Arabidopsis thaliana: one gene and its partners. The protein of the gene in region 3 interacts with the protein of the main gene of each other region in a pairwise test. Each region holds a gene or a part of one and is shown on either strand. Other genes may lie near its edges. The genes, in order: AT5G24050, HSI2, AT1G70030 and AT1G74120.

The links.
Region 1: the proteins of AT1G70030 (region 3) and AT5G24050 interact in a two-hybrid assay, tested with the Arabidopsis thaliana proteins (one large-scale study listed by BioGRID).
Region 2: the proteins of AT1G70030 (region 3) and HSI2 interact in a two-hybrid assay, tested with the Arabidopsis thaliana proteins (one large-scale study listed by BioGRID).
Region 4: the proteins of AT1G70030 (region 3) and AT1G74120 interact in a two-hybrid assay, tested with the Arabidopsis thaliana proteins (one large-scale study listed by BioGRID).

What each region holds. Positions count from the first base shown.
Region 1 is NC_003076.8:8,127,331-8,131,570, forward strand, and holds AT5G24050 (plant-specific B3-DNA-binding domain protein (DUF313)), read right to left. Parts: upstream 2,073-4,240; coding exon 1,023-2,072; downstream 1-1,022. Other genes in the region: AT5G24040 (F-box SKIP23-like protein (DUF295)), read right to left, coding at 1-6; AT5G24060 (Pentatricopeptide repeat (PPR) superfamily protein), read right to left, coding at 2,943-3,047, 3,153-3,248, 3,365-3,517, 3,621-3,914, 4,003-4,140, 4,239-4,240.
Region 2 is NC_003071.7:12,979,481-12,987,703, forward strand, and holds HSI2 (B3 domain-containing transcription repressor VAL1), read right to left. Parts: upstream 5,798-8,223; 5' UTR 5,245-5,797; coding exon 5,117-5,244; intron 4,858-5,116; coding exon 4,776-4,857; intron 4,679-4,775; coding exon 4,577-4,678; intron 4,490-4,576; coding exon 3,945-4,489; intron 3,856-3,944; coding exon 3,759-3,855; intron 3,673-3,758; coding exon 3,498-3,672; intron 3,377-3,497; coding exon 3,300-3,376; intron 3,206-3,299; coding exon 2,846-3,205; intron 2,752-2,845; coding exon 2,702-2,751; intron 2,585-2,701; coding exon 2,471-2,584; intron 2,351-2,470; coding exon 2,286-2,350; intron 2,002-2,285; coding exon 1,424-2,001; 3' UTR 948-1,423; downstream 1-947. UniProt on the Arabidopsis thaliana protein: Transcriptional repressor of gene expression involved in embryonic pathways, such as LEC1, ABI3, and FUS3. Repressor of the sugar-inducible genes involved in the seed maturation program in seedlings.
Region 3 is NC_003070.9:26,376,458-26,381,430, forward strand, and holds AT1G70030 (Paired amphipathic helix (PAH2) superfamily protein), read left to right. Parts: upstream 1-2,183; 5' UTR 2,184-2,375; intron 2,376-2,398; exon of another isoform or gene 2,399-2,727; coding exon of another isoform or gene 2,728-2,760; coding exon 2,761-2,891; intron 2,892-2,985; coding exon 2,986-3,169; coding exon of another isoform or gene 3,170-3,199; exon of another isoform or gene 3,200-3,207; intron 3,208-3,485; coding exon 3,486-3,581; intron 3,582-3,662; coding exon 3,663-3,734; 3' UTR 3,735-3,922; downstream 3,923-4,973. Other genes in the region: AT1G70020 (transmembrane protein, putative (DUF1163)), read left to right, coding at 913-1,310, 1,417-1,696; AT1G70040 (transmembrane protein, putative (DUF1163)), read left to right, coding at 4,776-4,973.
Region 4 is NC_003070.9:27,870,134-27,875,292, reverse strand, and holds AT1G74120 (Mitochondrial transcription termination factor family protein), read left to right. Parts: upstream 1-1,960; 5' UTR 1,961-2,032; coding exon 2,033-3,370; 3' UTR 3,371-4,119; downstream 4,120-5,159. Other genes in the region: AT1G74130 (Rhomboid-related intramembrane serine protease family protein), read right to left, coding at 133-243, 434-553, 634-754, 1,287-1,606. UniProt on the Arabidopsis thaliana protein: Transcription termination factor required for mitochondrial NAD2 intron 3 splicing and normal membrane respiratory chain Complex I activity. Essential for normal plant growth and development. Binds to RNA but not to double-stranded DNA.

The DNA of each region.
Region 1 (4,240 bases), on a different chromosome or scaffold from region 3:
TACCATTTTATTCTCTGAGTGATTATAGACTTGGTCTGATAATAATGTAGAGCTAAAAGCCTAAAACTAAACGTGTTGACTTTCTCTGTTGCTCTCTTGATTGAGGAAATGCGTTGACTTTATTACTTGACGTGTACTACAAGCTGTAACAATCCCTGCTTGTGTTCGATTCAGTTTTCTGAAAGTTTAACAAATTTGAGGAGAAATTCGAATGAGTGTATGATTATAGAGATCATTTTTTTTTTGTTTTTGCTTTCAAATTGCCTAACGGTTTTTTCAAAATCCGAAAATAACCAACACTTGATTGGTGTATTTTAAATAATCTATATGGATTTTTTTTTTTAATATGGATTTTCGAAACTATAATTCACCTAGGATTTGTATTTTTGTATTGTAGTTTCAGAATTTCTACATTAATCATAAACTGACAAGATCCTAGACAAGAAAACGAGATCTTATAGATGTGCGGAAGCGAAACGTTGTGTTTGCTATTAAGGCTGAGAAAATCGAGCTAATCAACGTCCAAGTACGGTGTACTTATTCAAGTGGCTGAAGAAGCAATTGTAGCAAAACCTGTCTTGGCAACAAATTTGGTTCCTGATTTGATCATTTTGCTCTTCATACTTGAGTTTCAAAATCAGATTCTTACTGAGTAGAACAAAACACAGGTTTTGATTGTATCGAGCATTTCTAATGAATGTATTAAAAACACTTTTATTGATTGGATCAATTTCATTAGACAAAATAAGACTTGGAGATATATTACAAGGAATCGAAAGGTAACAATGCAGTAACTAAAGTAGACCAAACAACAAACAAGATTCATGTCAAAAATGCTAAGTTTTCATACTATAGTACATACGGTTATAATGATCTGAAACAATATATGGAACAAGTTACTAATAAGGAACACTAATTTTCTTAATCAAACTCTTAGACAAAAAAGAAGTCCAGAATCTCCTGAAATTAGATCGCTGTGCGTGTTGATCAATCAAGTTATAGTCTCAACCGACACAAGAAACTTAGCAGAGACAGAGAGCAAGGGAAGAGCTACTCTGTTCCATGGCAAAGCAGAGGATTCCACAGCACCTAAACGACCAAAGAGTAATGTTGTCGCCTTCTTTCAATCTGTTAGCCTCAACGATGTCGTTCCACCCACAAATCAAATTGTAACTCCAGCTTCCTTTACCTGATTCCTTCTTCATCTCCCATCTCTTTAACATCACACCCCACTTTTTACACCGTTGATCCACGAGAATCGCTCCCACTCCAATCTTGTTATTGTTGTTGATGTCTTCGTTTATGATTATGGACTCCACAGACGTCAGGAAATCGTTTCGGAGTAAGTTGTTGAAAGGCATTGAGAGACGGTTCTTTGTTGGGTTTACATCAGTCACGAACAGAGTCTTCTCAAAGATCAATTTAGCGTCTTTGGCTTCTTTCATGTTTGTCATCACCTTGACAAGCCACTCAGGTGTCTCTCTCGCCGTTTGTGAAAAAGGAGCAACATTTGCTTTCTTGACTCCACCACTACGCTTCCTTTGTTCCACAGCACGTCTCTTGCGGCTTGTGTTCTCCATTAGGCACAAAGACATAGTACATGGGAAATTAGGGTTTGGTGGGTCTTTCGTCTCCGTCTTTTGGTACTCAGCCGTCTTGTGACCAAAGAGTCCGAGTGAAGAACAAGGTTCTGAACTAGGGTTTTGTAATGTTTTTGTCTCGGAATTAGCGGCAATGAAACATGAAGAGGATAGCCCTTGAAGATGGTTTTGTGGGTCTTCGATCTCAGAATCGGTAGGGAACTGGTTAAGATCGATAAGCGATGAAGAAGTAGAAACCCTAATAAGATTTTGTTGTCTCTTCACCAAAGACGATCTTGTTTTTCTCGGGAAGAGACAAAAGATTCTCTTCTGGAATTCTTCTTCTTCTTCAGAGACAATCTTACGACGTTGTTCTTCTTCTTCTTCTTCATATAACATAACCGCCGCATCAACCAGTACACAGAAATTCGACCACAGGTCTTTACCTGAAGCCGTGAGATGATCGTCATCATCGTGATAGATACTAGTCATTGTGAATTTTTGATAGAATCGAAAACTCAAGTTCTTCTGAGAGCAAATCGTGAGACACAAGGAAATTAGAGAATCTGAGAGAAACTGAGAATGAGAGAGTCTCTATTGCATTATATAATAATACTTGCGCTCTCTGCTTACATCAAATTTAGGGTTTCCTTTTTTCTTTGAGTTTAGTTGTTTAATTACTGTGATTAGTAACTAATTAGCCGTTGTCTGATTTTATTTTCGTTAATAGCTAACCTTATAATTACGATATAGTCCTTGTCTCGGTATTTCCTTTTTCTAGGTGTGTGAGAGTCTCTCATTCTCACTTTATGAATACAAATGTAATTAAACAACTAAACTAAGATACAATCTTTTGAAGTGGGTTTTATGAATGTAAAAAAGTTATTAGTGACAAAATACAAAAATAAGAGTTACGATAAAGAGATGAGATTTATGTAAAACTATTTGGACAGATCATATATTTATGTATAAATTGGGATAAATTTCAATGCTCTCTTAACCCAGAGACTTGAAGAATTAATAAGGTCTTCTGTATAAATTGTATAAACTATATTAACCCAGAGACTTGAAGAATTAATAAGTCTATTAACCCTTAGACTTGAAGATCATATATTTATGTATAAACAGTGTCAAGAATTAATTGGAAAACAATGAAACAACATGAGACCCCCCCCCCCCCCCCCCACACACACACACACACACCAATCTCCAATAAGCCAACCTTGAAATTGCTTGTCTGACCACAAACGATCTTTAACGTTAGCAGGAGTGTTAGTTCATGTCTGACTGGTGAGGGCACTTTCATTGATACACGAGAAATTGCAGTTTGAATATGTTTCTTGTAGCTACATTATTAAGACTCTAAGATTCCTTTTGATTCGTTTGTTTTGGTTTCTGCGGCTTGGAAGGTGTAGAAGCGAATAATAATTCTCTCAACTGTCCCTCAGCGTTGTGTTCTGATGTTGCCTGCAACACAGAGTTATCAGGCCGCATTAATCTAAGTGATATCGTATGTATTATCATTGTTCACTAATCAGAGTCTAAGAAGATAGAAAACGAAAATCGACATACCCTTATCGAGAATGCAAACCGTAATGTCTCAATTTGCATTCCTGAGCAAATCCTAAGGTCGAAACCAAGTGAATCTATCCCAATGAGCTTCACTTCCTACATTGTAACACCATATGGATATAATCATGATTGTCACAGTATAGTCGTGAAAGCTATACAACAACTTCGTTTTGAAATTCCAGTAATGTAACGTAAAGTTCCAGTTTCTTTACCTCTGCTTGAATCCCATTATTTCTCCAACACAGAGATCTGAGAGCTTCAGTTAGTTTATCGCCATCTTCTTCTAGACGAGTCAGTATACCATCTGATGCACAAGCAATAACATCAGGTTGTGCTTTCCTGACGTCTTCCACTTCCACTTCAGTCTGTTCAAAAGCAAAAATACACAACCAACCAAATGCATGAGCTAAAACTTCCATAGAGCCTTTTAAAGAGTATATATTAAAAAGGGAGAGGCTTTATCGTAACCTGATGCCCCTGTGCCGTGATGAGCTGGATTCTTATTATCTCCAGCTTGTAGTACTGTATAGCATTTCTCGAATTTTCAACATGCAATATCTCAGATTCATTCTCACCAATGCCTTCAAATATCTCTTCTGAGTTTTCTCTCTCCTTGTTTTTGTCAGTGCCTGTAGATATACAACCAGAGATATGTTTTTGGATATCTGAGTGATCTTCCACAATGACAGGACTCAAGAGCCCTTGGATAGCAAGGCCAGCGGACGGCTGATCCATCCAATTTACAGGATCAGTTGAAGCAACCTAAATTTCAATAAAGAAACTAAGTTTTATAGTCTTCACATGGTGGATATTTGATAAATCACAAATCAATTTTTGGACTGCAAGTAACCTCGGCCATCCTCCTGGCAAAATACATAGGATGGCAATATCGCATCGTTTCCAAGTTTGCCCAGTCTCCAAGTGATTCATCAGAGTCTGAGACATAGTTATCCTCGTCATCTCCATCTTCTAGAACAGCAACCCATTCCTGGAGTCAAGAACACAGTATATTGTGAAGCATGCTAAGCATAAGACAGGTTTTTTCCATGTGAAGTTCCTCAATAAGACCACGAAAGCTTTTCAAACCT
Region 2 (8,223 bases), on a different chromosome or scaffold from region 3:
TATTCATTCGGATGAAATCGACACCTGAAAAACAAAATTAGTTTATCAAATTGAAAAATTGATGATGCAAAGTTATAAAGCAAAAACAAAGTAATGCACACTTACCTAATGTCGAAATCTAGGTTCCTTTAACTTTGATACGAAATCAAATTTTTTTCAAGAATACATACTTACCTAAAGTAAAAGTAGACGGTTCTTTTGAAATTAGATTTTTCCGAAGAAACCGAAAGTATCTTTGTTTAGCCATTAAATCATGTAGTAACATATCTCTATCCTATCGGTAATGGATGAGGACCAAGAGCGAAGTACCATGTACAAAATTAGTTCAATAAACGTAAAACTTCAATCAATTAATAATCGATGAATTATTATTTTTTATATATTAATAATTTTTTATGACATAAATGATATAAATCAATAAAATAATTTTAAGAAGTCATTTTTGAAAATTCTATGTAAACATATTATCTCATCATATCATAAATTAACAATTGTTAAACTTATTGCTATATATACAACTTAATATTTATAATATATAATAGTATTTTATATATGACATCATATATATATATATATTATATGTAAAAACTTTAGTGTAGTATGACTTAATATTGTTTGTTTTTCTTAAGTTAATATTAATTCTGGTAGAGTTCATTTCAAATATGCTTACTACATGTAAAAAAGTTTATGTTGTTTTTTTATTCTAAACTTATTATTGTTTTTCTACTTGTAACTGTTTTAGAAATATATTGATTGTAAAGAAAAAATTGTTTTTTAGATATTATTTTTTTAATTACAAAATTAGTAAACCTCACTATAAATTAATAATTATTAAAATTATCGATAAATTAATATATTTATGAATATATAGAATTTTTCGTTTCTAATATTATTAATTTGTAGAGGTTTTATCGTAATTGTTTTTGGTAAAATGATTTAACCTCTTAATTAATCTCCTTATACCATTTACAAGTCTACTTCATGCAGTTTTCAACAACTGTCATAATTTGTGTTTAACAATATTATAAGAAACAACTTTTAAAAAAATTAAACCAACTAGGCATTTGGTTGAAAACAATTACAAAAAAAAAAATCAACTCAACTGTTTCATCACCAAGCACAAAGCTCCATTTGCCTTCTACAACAAAACCTAGATTAATGGAGACATACTATAAACCCCAAACTCAACACGATACCATAAAAATACAAAAACAAAAACAAAAAACAAAAGATGGGACATTGTCGCTGTTTAGAACCAGAAACTTATTTTTCCTACAACTATGACAGAATCAAACACAAAACTGTACTTCTCTCTCTCTCTCTCTCTCTCTCTTTCTCTTCTTCTTCTCCTACTCTTGGTCTCAGCATATTAATAAAACTGGCTATGACTTTGGCTTTTACCCTTTCCCTTTTTCCTTCCATATCAGCTTGAAACTCTCGGCTCTTCACGAACATTCTTACCCTCTCCTTCTAACTCTGTAACTCCTAAAACATCACTGGCGTCTTGAGCCACCACGCCCGAACACTGTCCTATTGCTCTTTTTCGACTCTCTTCTTTCTCCACCGCAACAGCTTCAACATCTTCTTTATTGTATGGATCACTGTTCAGGTCTATTCTCGCTGTGTTCACTTCCTTCTCCTCCTTACTCTTATCAGACTCAGCCAGTTCCATGTCCTTCTTCTTCTTATCTTCTGCTGCTGTTACATCGCGCTCCAACTGCTTCTTCTTCCTCCTCATCATAAGCGTCTTGAACCTTCTCTTCACGGTGCTACACACAGTGCAGCCACATGTAGGCTTGTGCCTACCTTTCCCACTTGGTGGCTGAATGCACACGATGCAAGAGCATCCAGCCCTGTGCCTTGGATGTCTGGTCGTGGTCGCTACCTCTGGCTCGCCTATTGTGTCTCCTAAGACTGCTGCACTCGCCAGTGCGTCCAAACCACACGGTTCTTGCTGACTTTTTGCTGCCTGGCTTTCCCCAGTTCTTCTCTTCTTGTGCTCTATATATATATGCATACAGTTAGTGTCTTGAGATTCTCAATAAGCTGAGATTATGAAAAGTAAGCTGCGTTCAGAAACAAATTTGCAGGATACCAAGCAAACAATCCATATTTTGATAAAATTCTAACATAAGGAAGGCGCAACATGCACAAATAACAGATACATATCCTGAATGTTTTATATGAACGCCAAACCATAAATTGCTCAGAAGTCACAACTACTTGGAAGCAGTCTAGATAATGAGAAAGAACCATGAGAGGCCAGGAAATAAAAGATTTCATACCTCTTCCTACTTTAAGAACATTCTCAAGTTCCTTCAGACTCTCCTCCGGTGCAGAACATGAACACCTATCAATGAATATATTATTAATTACAGTGACAGGACACTAGGGAGAAAAAAAAAAACTCTAAATGATCTTCGATTTAAGCGATCATGAGATTAAAGAAAAGACTTGTGAAAGTTCTTACCTACTCACATCCCAAACATTGTCTATACATGTCCATTTAAAGGAAAGAAGAGCATCTACAGGTAACCTTCTCCATTTAGAGCAGTCGTCGCAAGTTGCCCATCGTTCCTGTTCACTGGACCACAAAGAAATTTGTTAGTAAATCATTTGCAAGTATGGAAGTAAACTATAGGAGAAGATACGTTGCCATTCATTTTATTTTTTTACTTGAGAAGTGAAAGAAATAACTAACCCTGAAGGTTTTGTAGTGACTATAGTCCTCTTTCCAAAGACAGGAGGTTCCTGTGTATAACATTAACATGAACTATGACTTAACCAAGGATCAAGTTAAGGGTTAATCAAATGGTTGTAAAAAACAACATGATCTACCACGTACGTCATATTCTTCAATTTCTTGCTCCTCAATGACAACGATGGTAGGCTTTACACTAGGAGAGGGACGAAGCAAGTCCTGAGCTTCTTCCCAAGTGAGTCTCAGCTCCATAGATTCTTCACTATGCAAAAGAAGTCTCTTATTTTTTGCACCAATGGTTCGAGTTCTCTTCTTCTCTTTAACTCGTGTAGGATCATCACCTATCCTGCCCCCGTTAGTCTCACTGTTCAAATTCTCAGGCATACCATTCAACTCTTTCGGTATTAGTGAAATACACGAGGAACCATTTATGGAGGGTGGGTTTTCTGTTACACCAGACGATGATGTGTCCTCAGTTGATGTTCCGTTGGTGAGCCCACAACCCTATTTATAAATATTGTAACCGGATAAGAATGGAGCTAAGCAGAAAATAAAAACCAGCACATTCCTACAGAAACCAGTTCATAGAAACCCCAACCTGCATGTCTCCAGCATTAGCTGCCTTCCTGGAACCCATGATTAGTTTTCCGCCAGGATCAACCCGACTGAAAGTTACTGTAGAGGTGAAAAACACAGAAAACCAACAATAGTTTTAGAAAATGGTTCATGAAAATTTGATGTTAAAACCAGCAAATGCTTGAAGCTTTAGCTAAGACATGAACTATATTAAAAGTACCTGTATCACCAGCCTGTAGCATCATGGACTGTATGCATGGAGTGACACCTTCTAAAACATACATTCTACTATTGTTATTGGGCCAATATCTGAACTGGAACGTCCACTCCCTACCCCTCACATCTTGGATTTTCAAAGGAATGCCTTCGGATTGACTAATCGGAGGAAAATATGCCTATATACCAATGCAGACATCAGTCATAACTCTACAAAATATTTCAAGGACAAGAAAAGACATCACCATAGGAATGGGAAATTTACCTCTGCACAGGCTTTTGGAAGAACTAGACGACCAATGCGACCAGCATCACTGGCACTAAGAGTTTTCTCAAAGAGAGGTACAATGTTCAAATTCAAACTAGAATTTGTTAAGATAAACAATGAGTCACCAGAAGTCTGTCCAGAATAAAATATTTGGCAAAAGTACTAGAAGCAAATAAAGGATACTTTCCAGAGATCTGCTGAACCTCTTTATCCGTATATTTTGGCCAATACCGCGGAAGCAAGTGGCCTCTCCCTCGCCCTTCGACAGGAGGCCTTCCAATCCGCGCCTGAGCGGATTTACTAGCCACAGGAGGAGTTGAAATAGCAGGTCTTGATGGCTTTTGCAGTATATTAGAAGCAGAGCAATGGACCATGTTGGACTGAGAAGGACTGATGTGTTTCATTCCCTCGACAGCCTCGGTTGCAAAAGATGGGCTAAACGGATTCACAGCCAAACCCATATTTAAAGATGGCTGTAAAGGTGATGATTCATGCATTTCCCCAGCAGCATCCAGCCTATGCCCGGTGGTTGTACTTTCTGGACTCATTAGCTTACCAAACCCACGGTGAGGCATGAACTCTTCCCTTTTATCTCCGCCCATGACTAGTGGCTGAGAAAAGAGATCGCCTTCGTTTCTTCCTCCGCTTTCGCCATTTACATGTTGCCTATCAGCTAACGTTTTCATTGGCAATCTGCTAAAAACACCTGGATTCTCACCCCTTGTGTTCTGAAAAACGTGAAGACAGAATCCTTACAACAACAACTTACATATAATATACTCGAATACGCTGAACCGAGTCTAGTAAAAACTCACCAAATTGAGTTGATGGCAGCAAGCACATGTACTACAACCAACACCACCATAGTCCATTAACTCAATCGTTACCTTAGAAGCAATGCATCCACAATGTAGTCTCTGTCATCACAGAATCTCAATCAGAACAACAAAACATCACCACTAAACTCTATATATAGAAAAAACAAACATATTCACACAGTTTCAAAAAACGCACCTTGCTACACAAATAGCATTCCCTCCAACCAGATTGGTCCTTATGAAATTGTTCACAGAATAGAGAACTCTCATACGCAGATCTATAACAAAATCATTACAACCAAAGTCTCAATTTTTTTCCTTTTATGTACCAAAGTCACATATTTTTTCCCTATTTATAGATTAAAAGAGTCAAGATTCGCACTAAGAAACCATATACGTAGTCAAAAAAACAGAACATGAACAAACTAAGAGCTAAACAGAGAATCAAGAAGAGGGTCACGAAAAGATCGAGACTTTAGTCAAAAATCAAACGAAATTTGGAGTTTAGAATAGGAAATTAGAGAGATTGAGAAATACCCGCAACGATAACAGAGATCAGCGAGAAGACCAGATCGAAGAGGCCAACCTTTCTTCCATTCAACAGTAGAAGTCGTACCACATGAAGCGTTCATGCACATCTTTGACCCCATTTTGACTTCAAACATCACAAACTCCAAACCCCAATTCCAAAATCTTAAAACCCTAACACCACACAAAGAGCTAGAACAACGAATCGGATACGAAATCGACGTGAATTGATGAAATTGAAGGATTGAGGAAGAGACTAGTCATGAACATGCATCGACGTTGGTCAAAATCAAAGGTTCGTGTGTAGAGAGATCAGAGGATTGGTGAAGGACCGGCGGGGGAAGAGAAAGAGAAGATTTTGACGGCGAATTGAAGAAAGAAAGAGGACTGTAACGGCGAAGAAGAAGGCAACGAGGTTTTTTTTTTTTGGGTGAATTTTTTTTTTTGTTTCAATTTAATTTATCGATGTGAAAAATTAAAACTTTTATGGGTGAGATAGAGAGAGAAAGAGGGAGAGAGCATGCAAGTGAACGAAACGCATAAAATGCATGCACGACACTTGAAGACACACACAAAACTCGAAAAGTAAGAAAACTCGCAGAGATTTAGAACAGACACAAAGTGAAAGACTTTGGTTTTTTTTTGACTTTGTTAAGATATGTTTTTTTGGTATATAATATATATAGAAATGAAATTTAGGGTTGGTAGGAATCATATATTTTGGAAAAAAAATAGTATGGTGACGTAATTTTAATATTTGGTTATATGTATTCAACTAATTTATAGGTATTTTCCTTTCTACAGTTGGGGTATTATTTATATAAGGAAATATTGATTATTTCATCAAGAAAAGAAAGAATTATTCAATAGAAACATATATGTTTCTTTTTGCAAATCATAAATATATAGAGTGCATGCATGACACTAACACACACATGCACAAAAGACTTTGAGGTTCTTCTTTTTCTCTTTTGACTTTCTTGGTTTGTTATTGTCAATTACTCTAAGAAATCATTTTAATTTAAGTTTGTAAAAGTTATAAAAATTATCCTAAGAAAAGAAAATAATAGTACATAAATTCTACTTATCTAATTAAAGATTATAATAGAAATTTGCGATCGCGTACATGTATATGCTATATACTCTACCTGTCGTCATTCTCTGTATATGTATTCTAACCAAATTTGAGTTCCGAATACCCTAAAACTTAGAGTGGATTGAGACCGATAGATAAGTAAAAATTGACGATTCATATCAAACATGTAGTCTTATGGTAGAATATATATTCCAAAATAAGATACCAAATTTATAGAGAACTTGCAAACGAAATGGGAAGAATTGGTGGAATATAAACTAAAAATTCATTCTTGCTTAAATTGAATTTTTTTTTCCTACACTGAAGAAAATACCATCGACAAAAAGAAATATGCAAAAAATCAACACAATATATTTTGTAGGATTTGTTTATTTTTTGTTAATACTTTTGAAGGATTTGTAGTTAATTGAATATATATATATATATATAATATATTATGTTTTTTTTTTTGCCATTTTACTACATTTAACCATAACCTTGCTATTTATGGAGTCCAATAGTCCATGCGCATGATAAACATACAGTATAAGTGTTCACACGATTTTATATATGCATGTGATTTTCTGTCAAATAACACGTTACTACCCAAGAATATATCATCTATTTGTTCTAACTTTTACTCATGCATGCTCTATTCACTTCGTATTTCCCATTAAATCTTTAATCTTTTCTATCTAATTAGTTCAAATTTAAATCTAACTAAAATGACACCATATCTTTTGGAATCGCTCTCTTTTGGGTGGAATCTTCTATATTATCAACGAGCTACTATTAAGTTACTACGTTTTTTCACTCCCTTTTTTGACCTTATATATAGCTAGGCTTGTAACACCTATCGAGTAATTGACTACTGTTGGAACGAGTAAAAAACTTATAAGTTTTAACTCAGTGTAAAATGTCGCCGTCTGGTAAAAAGAGTGGTATTCTATGTATTATCCTAAATTTCATTATACACTTATGGAATTTTCTTGTTGACAGCAAAATATATAGACATAATCCTTTTTTGGATTTTTGCATATTTTCATATGTGGAAATAATCTTTTACCATGCAAAAGAGATATATAATCAACTTAGGGCCACTTTGCCCTTATCCTTGTAATAAATAGTTTTATTTTTCCCCCATAATTTAATTCATGAAACTGACTTGGATAGTCCGAACCACTAGATTAGATTCGCATCATACAAGTACAACTGGATTATAAAACTGAAATAGAAATTCAACTATAAAATTCAAAGCACGTAATGAACTTCTTCTTTTTTCACCTATTGTGTTTCCATATAATTCCACAAATGACATTTTTTAACTGGTAGTGAGGATAATAGGATATGATGATTCTCAAATTTCGAATATTTGTATATTGGTTGTTAAAAACATTCGGATAAGTCACAAACATATAAATCAGCATAACCTTGGAAAAAAATTACGTTTGAAATCTAGACTAATACATCCAATCCAATGATTAGTTTGAACTACATGCATAATTGCATACTAAATAATGATCAAGTATACTAAATTCTGGAGTTTGATATGATTAAGCGAAGCTTTAATGTTTCGGCCATGTGAAACCTCGTCTTAGAATAGTTGTCATCACGCGATGTTGGCTAACGTAACAAGAATCATCAATCTCGTACCACACATGTTGCACATGAGAAACAAACAGCCGCAATATTCTTGATTCACCTTTCTTCTTTTCTCTTTTAACCAAAAACATAAGCTGCAATATTCTTAATTCACACTCGGGACCAAAACATGTTAAAGAGTTATTGTTTTGTCATTGGTATTCAAACTCGTGATCTTGAAGATTTTTTTTTTCTCTGGTCACAACATCATAATCATGTTATTTTCTAATATTTATGTATACTTAGAAATAAATAATATAGTTAGGATATTTTTTAAGTAATTAATTAACATGCAAAGGATTTTGTAGGACGGCATGTAAGAAACAGAATCAACTGATAGAAACTGCAATAATGCCTGATACACACACACAGCTGTAATTGGGGCTCACGTTCCCAGCTT
Region 3 (4,973 bases):
GATTAGTTGCTTCTAATTGTCATCTTCATGACTAGACCATACTTTGGTATACACAACTGGTTACTTTTAGTTTGAGATGCGGCGGTACGAAAAAAATTAAACAAATTAATGTGTGTTTCAAAATATTAATTATAGAATTCAACACTGTTTTCTTAGTTGATCTCTCTAATGCTACAAAATATTCTGAAGATTATAATATAAGGTGCTACTAAATTATCCATGGTATGATTCGTATATCCAACATTTTTTCTGTATTATTTAGAATTTTTAACAATTAATACTTTCTCCCTAAACAAAGTTTATAAAAATTTCACTCAAGTTTCACTATTGAACGAATTGGTAAACAAAAATAAATGTTTTGGCTATTTAAAAAAAAAAATTGGTGCGGTAAAGAATGGTAAAATTGTAGCGAGGTGATAATAGAAAGTTGTTAAGAAACATCTCAAATTACAGCATCTTGGCCGATAATAAAACTAATATACTATGTTTGATCATCATATGATTTATTTTTCGTTCTAGCCTGCTTCTTTGATTCGTAGCCAAACAAGCTGGAGCACTCCCAAAGTCCCGAGTCTTAACGTTTTATGGCCCATTAACGATCTAAAGCCCAACATAAAGAACCTATTTCTATCCTTTGAGAAGTTTTCTCTGTCCGACGATTCATAGCCAATTAACGCTAAGATTACTATTTGATTTAATCTAAAATATCTTTAGCGAAAAGAAAGTTATTTACCAAAATCTAAAAATTTATATGTAATTATCGAAATCTTTTTAAAAAATTTGATATGTAATTATCGAAATCTTCTTATAAGAACAATATACCAACTCTTTTCTTTAATAACCCTAACAAAAAAAAGATACATAAATCTGGTGCATATACACATCTCTCTATCCGTCTCTCTCTGGGTTTCAATGGATTATGAAAACGGAGAAATAATAGCTCCTAAATCCACCACTTTATGGGATAGACTTACACCACGACAAAAAAAGTATGTGTTCACGTGTGTCTTGGTTTTTTTGATCGCTATCGCAACCGCTGCAATTATCGTTTATGCCTACTCTGAATCAGCACAAGAACGACGTGAAAAACGGCGTAAAGAACAACGTATAGAAAACTATGCACCGGATATTATAATACCATCTATGGATTTCACAGTCCTTAATTTAACCGAGACTAGTCTTAGTGTTAAATGGGATTTAGTGATCAGGCTTCCTTCAGATCTTCCTGGTTACTATATGTGTCTCAAAGGAGATTTGCAGACTTTCATACTTTACAAAGGTGTTACCATTGCTAATTCATCCTTAGACAGGTTACACTTTTTAAAAATTTCAATACTCTTTTTTTTTTTTTTTCTTTAACTAATTTCGTTTGTTCATATATTTTTGTTTGAACTTTTTTGTGTTATGCTCTATCAGTTACAATCTGATACCAAATTGGCCTCAGCTGCTTAATACCTCATCGGTAATTGCTTCTGAGGGAGATATGGACAGTGTTGTTGTGAAAGACATTATGGACGATATAAAGGAAAGAAGAGACATGCGGTTCGGATCGAGGTTGCTTCTTCCGGATTGTAGATCTGGGAGGAAGATGAACTATACGTGTGATGAAACTGCGGTTCGGTTTGAGCCTGGCTCTCAAAGGAAGGCAACTGCGTTTGAAAACGCCGCTCCTATATGCCACTATATTCACACTTAAGTAAAATTTTCATCAATAATGATTTTTATGTTTTAGTTTGCATATGTTGGATCTTCTTCTTTTGCCTTTTGATATCGTAGGAAAGAACTTAAACAACACAATGCGCTTTTGTTTTTTTTTCCTTTGGCTTCAATGGAATATACTTTGTTCTAATGTATTATTATTTTCGTTAATAATTATACTCTCATAGTAAGATACTATTTTTTAAAAAGATTCTATTTAAACATATGGTACTACATCAATATCATAAGTTAATCATTACATCAACTTAAAAAATTTATTTAGTTAGTCTGTTTAACGTACCGAACCGATAATTAAATTTCGAAATCAAATCTACCGATTGGTTTGTATCTAATAACCAAACTAGAACCGATTTGCACAAACTTCGGTTTGGACTTATCAATTTTGTTTTTAATCTGAAGGCCTACTTTTTTCTTTCTATAAATATTGGATAAGACTCATAAAAGTAGTATTTGGTATATTAAGAAAAAGAGTAAAAAATCCATATAAAGGAGAGAAAATCGAATCGTTATGTTAACAAAAAGATTATGTTTAACGTACGTGATATTAAGTATCTTTATATGACTCATGTAGTTATTTATAAACCTAAAACCTTACGACTTTCTTTGTGTCAATTGTCAAGTCTTTTGTATCTTCCTGTAAGCCTGTTACGTGTGAGGTAACGTGTCCATCAATACTTGTGTCCTAGCGAACTTTGATCGATCCTCTTCACTTTGATCCTATCTTGTTTCTATACTGAAATTCTTAGATCAAAATATAGTGTGACATAATCTGAGGAGTAAGTTAGATTCAAATCTTCTGGTCGATAGCTGTAAATTCCCTTGCAATGTTTTCTATGACTCTAATTGCTAGATCTGCGCTGGTTGTATGAATTTTTGGGATAATTTCGATTATTTTTCTTTGAACTTATATATCTTGAATTCGTTTATTGAGATTTAAGACTTGTATTGATTTTCAAAGTTGTTTATATTGGGAGTCGAACATTAATCTATTTTCTCTTCCTCTGGATAATGAAGCACTTGCCAGTTGTCAGTTTCAAAACCATGGTTGCAAATAAGAAGCTAACTACAACCGATGCACTTGATTTCCTCCATCTTGTAAAAACTAAATATCAAGATAATCGTGAAATATATGATAGTTTTCTTACGATCATGAAGGATTTCAGAGGTCAGAGGTATTTTTTTTCTTCTTCTTCCCTCATAATAGTTTCAGCTCTTAGTTATATAAAGTTTTGGTAAACTGTTTTTTTTTTTTTTTACTAATTGTAGAGCTAAAACATGTGACGTCATATCAAAAGTGAAAGAACTCTTCAAAGGGCAACCAGAGCTTCTCTTAGGTTTCAACACATTCTTGCCAACGGGGTTTGAAATAACACTCAGTGATGACGAACTTACGTCAAATTCGAAGTTTGCTCACTTTGACGAAGCATATGAATTTGTCAACAAGGTCAAGGTAGTTGGGCAAAATCATACTAGTAATTAGAGTTTGATTATGATTATTTTGATCCAAAAGATCTAAAATCTAAATAAAAAACAGGTTTAGTCATTTAAATTTAGAGAGATGAATAAACTTGTTTAGATTTTAGTGTTAAAATTTAGGATATCAGATTTATCGTTTTAATTAAGGGTTAGTTTCGGTGTAAATATTTCGGTTTATATCATTTGTATTCTCTATTGCTGTTTATTTTGCAGCCCTACTAGAAATTATATTACTCTTTTCTGTACAATTTTTTTTTTTACTTTTCTCTTAAATATCATTTTTTCTGTAGACAAGATTTCAGAACAATGATGTATTCAACTCATTTTTAGAGGTTTTGAAAACGCATAAAAAGGAAAACAAGAGCGTTGCTGAGCTCTACCAGGAGGTGTATATATATATATGTTTCACTACCTTTTCTTTTTCCATCTTTCTTGTATTGGATTTAATGTAATGTATTATTTTGTAGGTGGCTATCCTTTTTCAAGGCCATCGAGACTTGCTTGAGGAATTTCATCTCTTTCTTCCACATTATGGATGAAGAATGATGAATTATGTATACAATGAAGCCATGCAAGTTGTGGTTCAAAGCCACTTTATCTGCTTCCATTTGACTCAATGGGGATTATCATTAGTTTGTTGCTGAACTGGTAAAACTAGTACTCAATTTTTCAAGTTGTTTTATACTATTTAAACTGAATATTATGGATAATACACAAATTATTTATCAATTTACTTAAGACAATATAATTATGCTTAGTGAGAATGTACCAAACCTTTTTTTTTGGGTTAAAGGTTGCTGCACTAATTAAAAGAACAAACGGCGAATTACAAATTCTCAAATAAACGACAACAAACCCGACACGGTACAAGAAGATAATTTGAACCAAACCATACAAACAAAAGAATATTGCCTAGGTGTTGAGGTGGCTCAACTGTGGAAGCCAAAGCTCTATCAGATGCAATGCTAACAAGAGAGAAGTCGAATGCAGGGAAGAAGCTATCAGATTTTAAAATCCAAGCTGATGCGTTTACTCATTTCATCTTTAATTGTGAGTTATTAATTTTGAAAACCAGACTTTTTTTGTAGGATAAAGAACTTTTACAACTTTTTTTCTATAACCCTTTTAATATATGGTTTTTATTTTACTTTATTTGTCTAAATTTCTTTTCTAATACAGTTACAAACTTTTATATTTTTATCTTAAATATTTCAAAACTTTTAGATTTTATACATGGTGAAATCTGATGATTTAATTGATATTTGTTGCAATCACGAGAGTTAGCAAGTTTGAGATTATTGTTTTGAAATAAGATATGGAGGATAAATTTATTTTAAAAAAGAGAGAGAAAAATGAAAAAATAAGAAAATACTTAATTATTGTTTTGAAATACTTTAATTAATTAAAAACAACTATATCTTTAACTAAATTTTAATAACATATCATATAATTAAGTATAGGTTAAAGTTCATTTTCTTAAAAATTATCTTTCCTTAACAACTATATCTTTATTAAACTGTCTCATCTTCCTTTTGCACTCCAAAATAGTTTCCTCGTTTCTCTTCAATCAATCACTTAGAATGGCAGACGAAGAACTATCTATAGGAGTGCGGATCTTCGTTTCTTTTCTCATAGCCTTTGGTATTTGTGGTCTGGTTTTGTTGATGATAAAAGACAATTCTGGCAAAATCCCGGTGCCGAAAATAGAGTTAGCTTCAATGGATTTCACGGTGCAAAATATTACAATGACTCGTCTTAATGCAAAATGGGATTTGTCG
Region 4 (5,159 bases), 1.5 Mb from region 3:
GGTAAAGCATTTCGTCTAAACCTCACAAACACATAGAGAACATGTACGTAGTACAAATGCACTGGAAAAACTACACATCTGTGGACCTAGCATGGTTAGGAAAATGAGAAAATTATGCTTGTTGCACTATACCTTGAGTGATATAACCGAGAGAGCATGACTACTCAAGAAGAAAACAGAGCCACCAAGTGCTCCAGCAAAGTAGAGCTTCAAAAGGTAGCGCGGCCCAAAGCTTCTTGCAATCTAAGAACAAATGGGATTCGATATAAAGATCAATAGGTAGCAAGTTTTTCTTTTTAAACGAACTAAGGACGGTCCTTAGATGAGCCAGATTAAGTGTAAGTAGCCGGTTCATACTTCATAGGAAACAAATGAAAGCATTTCTCATTTCGTTTACGAAAATTAATATATGGAAACAAGGAAAAAATCTTACTCTGGCTCCGAAGTAGCAAAGCCCCATCATATTCAAGATGATATGAGTGGCTCCAACATGACTGAAACCCGAAGTGATCAGCGTGTGTATACGTCCAGTCATAAAACTGTACCTTGATAACTGTCCAAATACCATATGGTTAATAATACATGTAGATTTTTTATTTTTAAAAAAGTTGTTAGAATTTGATGAGGTCAGACCATAAAATTCTTCACCATCCACATATTGTCCTTGCCTAAAACCCGCCACATTGTAAATACAGCAGCATTAGCTATTACCAATCCAAAAACTACACCATTAGCTCCATTAATCCAAGACTTCCTGCCAGAGTTAAACCAATAAAGTGGTTTTTTCTTTTTGGTATTAGTATCCAAAATCAAATGGAGCAGGTAAAGAATCTAAGATTTTTGATGTAGGAGAACAATTTTTTAAAGGAGAAGGTCTAAACAGTGTCCAGCTTGCTATTCTATGTCTTATCTATAAAGAGAAAAGCATCAAAAGAGCTTTGTGCTGCTCAAAATCAAGAACTACGCAGAAATGGAAGAAAAAAAAAGCCTACTAATTTCTCTGAATCCTGACACGTCTTTTACTTGGAAGAGCCAAACGTACAATTGACCAGAAAAGCTAAAGAGAGTTGTGAAAAAAGGTCGATGCTTTACCAAATAAATCCTGTCAAACCCAGAAATTTTATGGTGAAGACAAATTTATCTTTGAAAAATGTAGTTTTTACTTGGAAACAAATAGGTACAATATAAAACAGAGGACCATAGAGAAAGGGGAACTCAGAATTTTTCTTAGGAAAGGTTCCAACTTTACTTTGAAAAACAAAAAGGGAGAGGAAAAGAAACGATACCATCCACGTTTTTGAAACCCAGTAAAACCACCAGACTCGAATCCATGACTAGGAAGCTCAGAACTGAAGAACCCAGCTCTAGATTCCATAACATTTCCGAATTTCAGCTTCAGATTGGTGTTTCCCAACTTCCCTGCGAAGAATCCATGAACTCTCGCCGATCGTGATACAACATAAGGAGGAACAAAGCGGGAAGAGAGATCAAAAGGAAGAAGATGGCTCAGGGAATGGCGACTCTGGCTCGCCTGCTTCGTCACCAATTTGGTTAGCTGCGGGGAAGAGCAACCGACGGCGACCCTGCGACAGAAAATCGCATGCATTTCGAAACTAATTTCAAATGTTTTACCAAATGGCGCAAAAATAAGAGAATAGCATCAACTTCTTCTGATTATTCATGAAAAGTGTGTGTTTCAAAAACTCAGGTCTTTTAAGTGCAATAAAATAGTGATGTAAATGTAACAAGAAGTAACAACTTTCTTTTTTTAGGTAAACAAAAGATTCCCTCCGGTTTAGGGAAATTGTAAATATACAACTTCCAACTTTCATTAAACCATGACGTTCCCATCTCTAAACCACAATCCCACTCAAGACAAGGTTAAATGTCTTACAAAACAAATAGTGGGTGGCATTTTCGGAATAAGATGAAACATTGAGGGTACAAATAATAATCTTAATTTTGTACACGTCGTCATCGTCTTTCTTCCTCCTTCGTACAGTGATTGAGTGCCTTGAAACTAAATAAAAAAATGGCCTCAAAACTCAAAACCTTCATCAATCTCCGTGACTACCCAATAACCCTATTCAACCAGATTCGATCACTATCCTCACGAATTCTCACACCTATCAATCAATCTCACTACAGGAAACGAATTTTACTCGCGAATCTCCTTCAGAGGTATGGTTTCCCTCCTTCTTCTCTTCAGCACTTCCTCTCAAGAAACAATCACCTATTGAATTCGGACTTAGTAGAAACCGAAATTTCTCTCGGCATCCTATTGTCATTGAAAATCCCTCAGAAATCACTCGTTTCGTTGATTTCCGATTGCCCTAATGTTCTGCGATCAGAGTTTCTGAGGAAATGGAGAGTTCCTCTGTCTAATTGCGGTAAACACGGTGTCGTCTCATCTTCTGCGATTAAGAGCGTCCTTGAACATTCTAGTAGAATTGGGATTGGTCCAGATAAGTTTAATGAGTGCGTAAGGGTTTTGAAGAGTTTAGGGTTTTGTGATAGTACTGTGAGTAGGATTTTAAGTTCATTCCCTGGTGTTCTTTTAGTGAATGAGATTGAAATTCGTAGGAAGATTGAGTTTTTAGTTGGAATTGGCATTGCTCGAGATAACATTGAGAGGTTCTTTCACGTTTTTCCTGAAGTTCTAGGGATTGGTACTGAGACTAGACTTAAGCCATTGCTTGATGAGTTCATGAAGATGGGGTTTAGTAAGGATGATGTAAAGAAAGAGATTGCTAGAGAACCGAGAGTTCTTGGTTTGGAGTTAGGTGAGCTTCCGCGGTGTTTGGAGTTGATCAACACATTGAAATGCCGGGAAGTGATTAGAGTTAGTATAATCAGCGAAGGAGCATTTCGTGCTGGGTTTGAAGTGAAGCTCAGAGTTGATTGTTTATGCAAATACGGGTTGATTCGTAGAGATGCATTCAAGGTTGTATGGAAAGAGCCGAGGGTGATCTTATATGAGATAGAGGATATAGAGAAGAAGATTGAGTTTTTAACTAACAGAATGGGATTTCATATCAATTGTTTAGCTGATGTACCGGAGTATCTAGGGGTTAATCTTCAGAAGCAGATCGTTCCACGGTACAATGTCATTGATTACTTGAAACTAAAAGGTGGGCTTGGCTGTGATATTGGATTGAAAGGTTTGATCAAACCAAGCATGAAAAGATTTTATAATTTGTACGTGATGCCATACCCAGAGTGTGAAAGAATCTTTGGAAAGAGAAAAGAGAATGTCCGAGTGAATAAACGACATCCCGCAGGGCTTTGGAAGCTTATGAAGCCGCCTAGCAATCTAACAACAAAAGAAGATGTGCAGAACATGAAGTCCTTTATAGAGTCACTTGCTTAGTATGTTGGATCTTGGACTTGCCTCTTACTAGATTGAAAGAGATCGGCCACTCTCTAGAGGGTTCTTGCTCCCTCACTTTGCTATGAGCTGCTCTGAATTGATATGGGTTATCAGGAACTTTCAGTGACTATCGAATCTGATCTCAACTCGCTCGAGTTCATGGCTTGATTATTCAAAGGACAATGCATACTCCTGAATAAGCCATGCTCACTTCTCGTTGTGCATCTTGGGAAGACATCTACCAATGCCATTGCCTTCGTTTCCATGTCTCTGCCTGATAGATTTGCTGAGCAAATGTAATTGGACTTTGGTTCTAAAAAGTCAAGTGCCATGTTCCAACTTCCAACTGTAACTACTAGTTAGGGATGTTACGTGGGCCGAGCCAGGCCGGCTAGTAGCCCGTTTTGGCAACTTTTATGCTAGGCCGATTCATCTGTTCCGTGATCCATCCCAGACAAACCATTTGTTTTTGGCATTTATACCAAAAATATTTGTTTCCAACAATTTTTTTTCTTAAACATTATTTTCAAATGTTTTACGTAAAAGCTCTGTTAACAAGAAACTTAGATTTATGTATGGAAGAATTGGTTATACATGAGTCAGTAAGTCATGAAATCTGTATAATGGGAAGAAGTTAATCAGTTAAATCTTATTTATTCCAAGAGGGTGATTGGAGAAAAAAAGAAGAAGAAGAGAGTTATTGGTAACTAGTGTTATTTATGTATTAATGAAGAAGAGAGTTATTGGTGTTATATATGTATTAATCAATCACAAATTGTACTACTAGTTAATTATGTAAGTAAAATCAATTGAAATGCAATATTAAATTTCCATGAAGATTTTAATTATAGAGAAAATTAAACTTTTCTATACATAGATAGATTACATGGTTCAATAAAAATTATTGTGAATAACAAGAAGTATTTAAAAAACGAAACTTATACTCTAAAAAAAAAAAAAAAAAAAAGACCAAGTGTTAAAAGGCTTGTAATGTAAGAAGCGACAGTTGGTCAAATAACATCTTTGACTTGGTCAACGTATTTTAACAACGGTTTTCTGTTAGAAATGGACTAATAGTATTAACTTACAAAAGACACACCCGATTTGTGAGTTGTGACATTTGCTTTGTCCTTAAGTATCACCACAAGCCAGCTTATATTGTCTCTATAGTTAGACAACCTTTGACCTTATTATACATACGTATATATGGAGCTTTTTTTTCAATTTCATATGGCATATATTTGTGTCACTGTGTGTGTGGTATCAATGTTCAAGGGAGACAGTTTTGTGGTTAACGAGGTCGATGCTTTGTTTGGTCCATACCCTGCATCGTCCATGGCCACCATATTACTATGTTTCGTGACGTAATTGATGATATGTATATCAAATTTCAACTCAAACTAGTTGAATATGAATGATGCAATTATGCACATTGATTTACAGGCCAGCGCTGGATTTAATATCCATTGAGCAAGTTATGAGAAAACAGTGGTCAATTAGTCAATTACCATTAAGTTCTTTTGAAGAGTCCAATATGGAACAAGATCAAACAAATTATGAGACTACAAAGACTTATGAGTTTATAACCAACTGAATTAAATTTCTATAAACAGACTCTTCCCTCTTGCACCTACTTCATCTTCTTTCTCTTACTATGTTTCTTCAATAGTCTTGTAACTGATAATATATGACCATTGAATGTAAATCAAACCTCTGTGTAAGTTGATTTATATCAGTTTCTGTCTATAAACTAGACTATATAATATAAGCCATCCCCCGGACGGTTTTA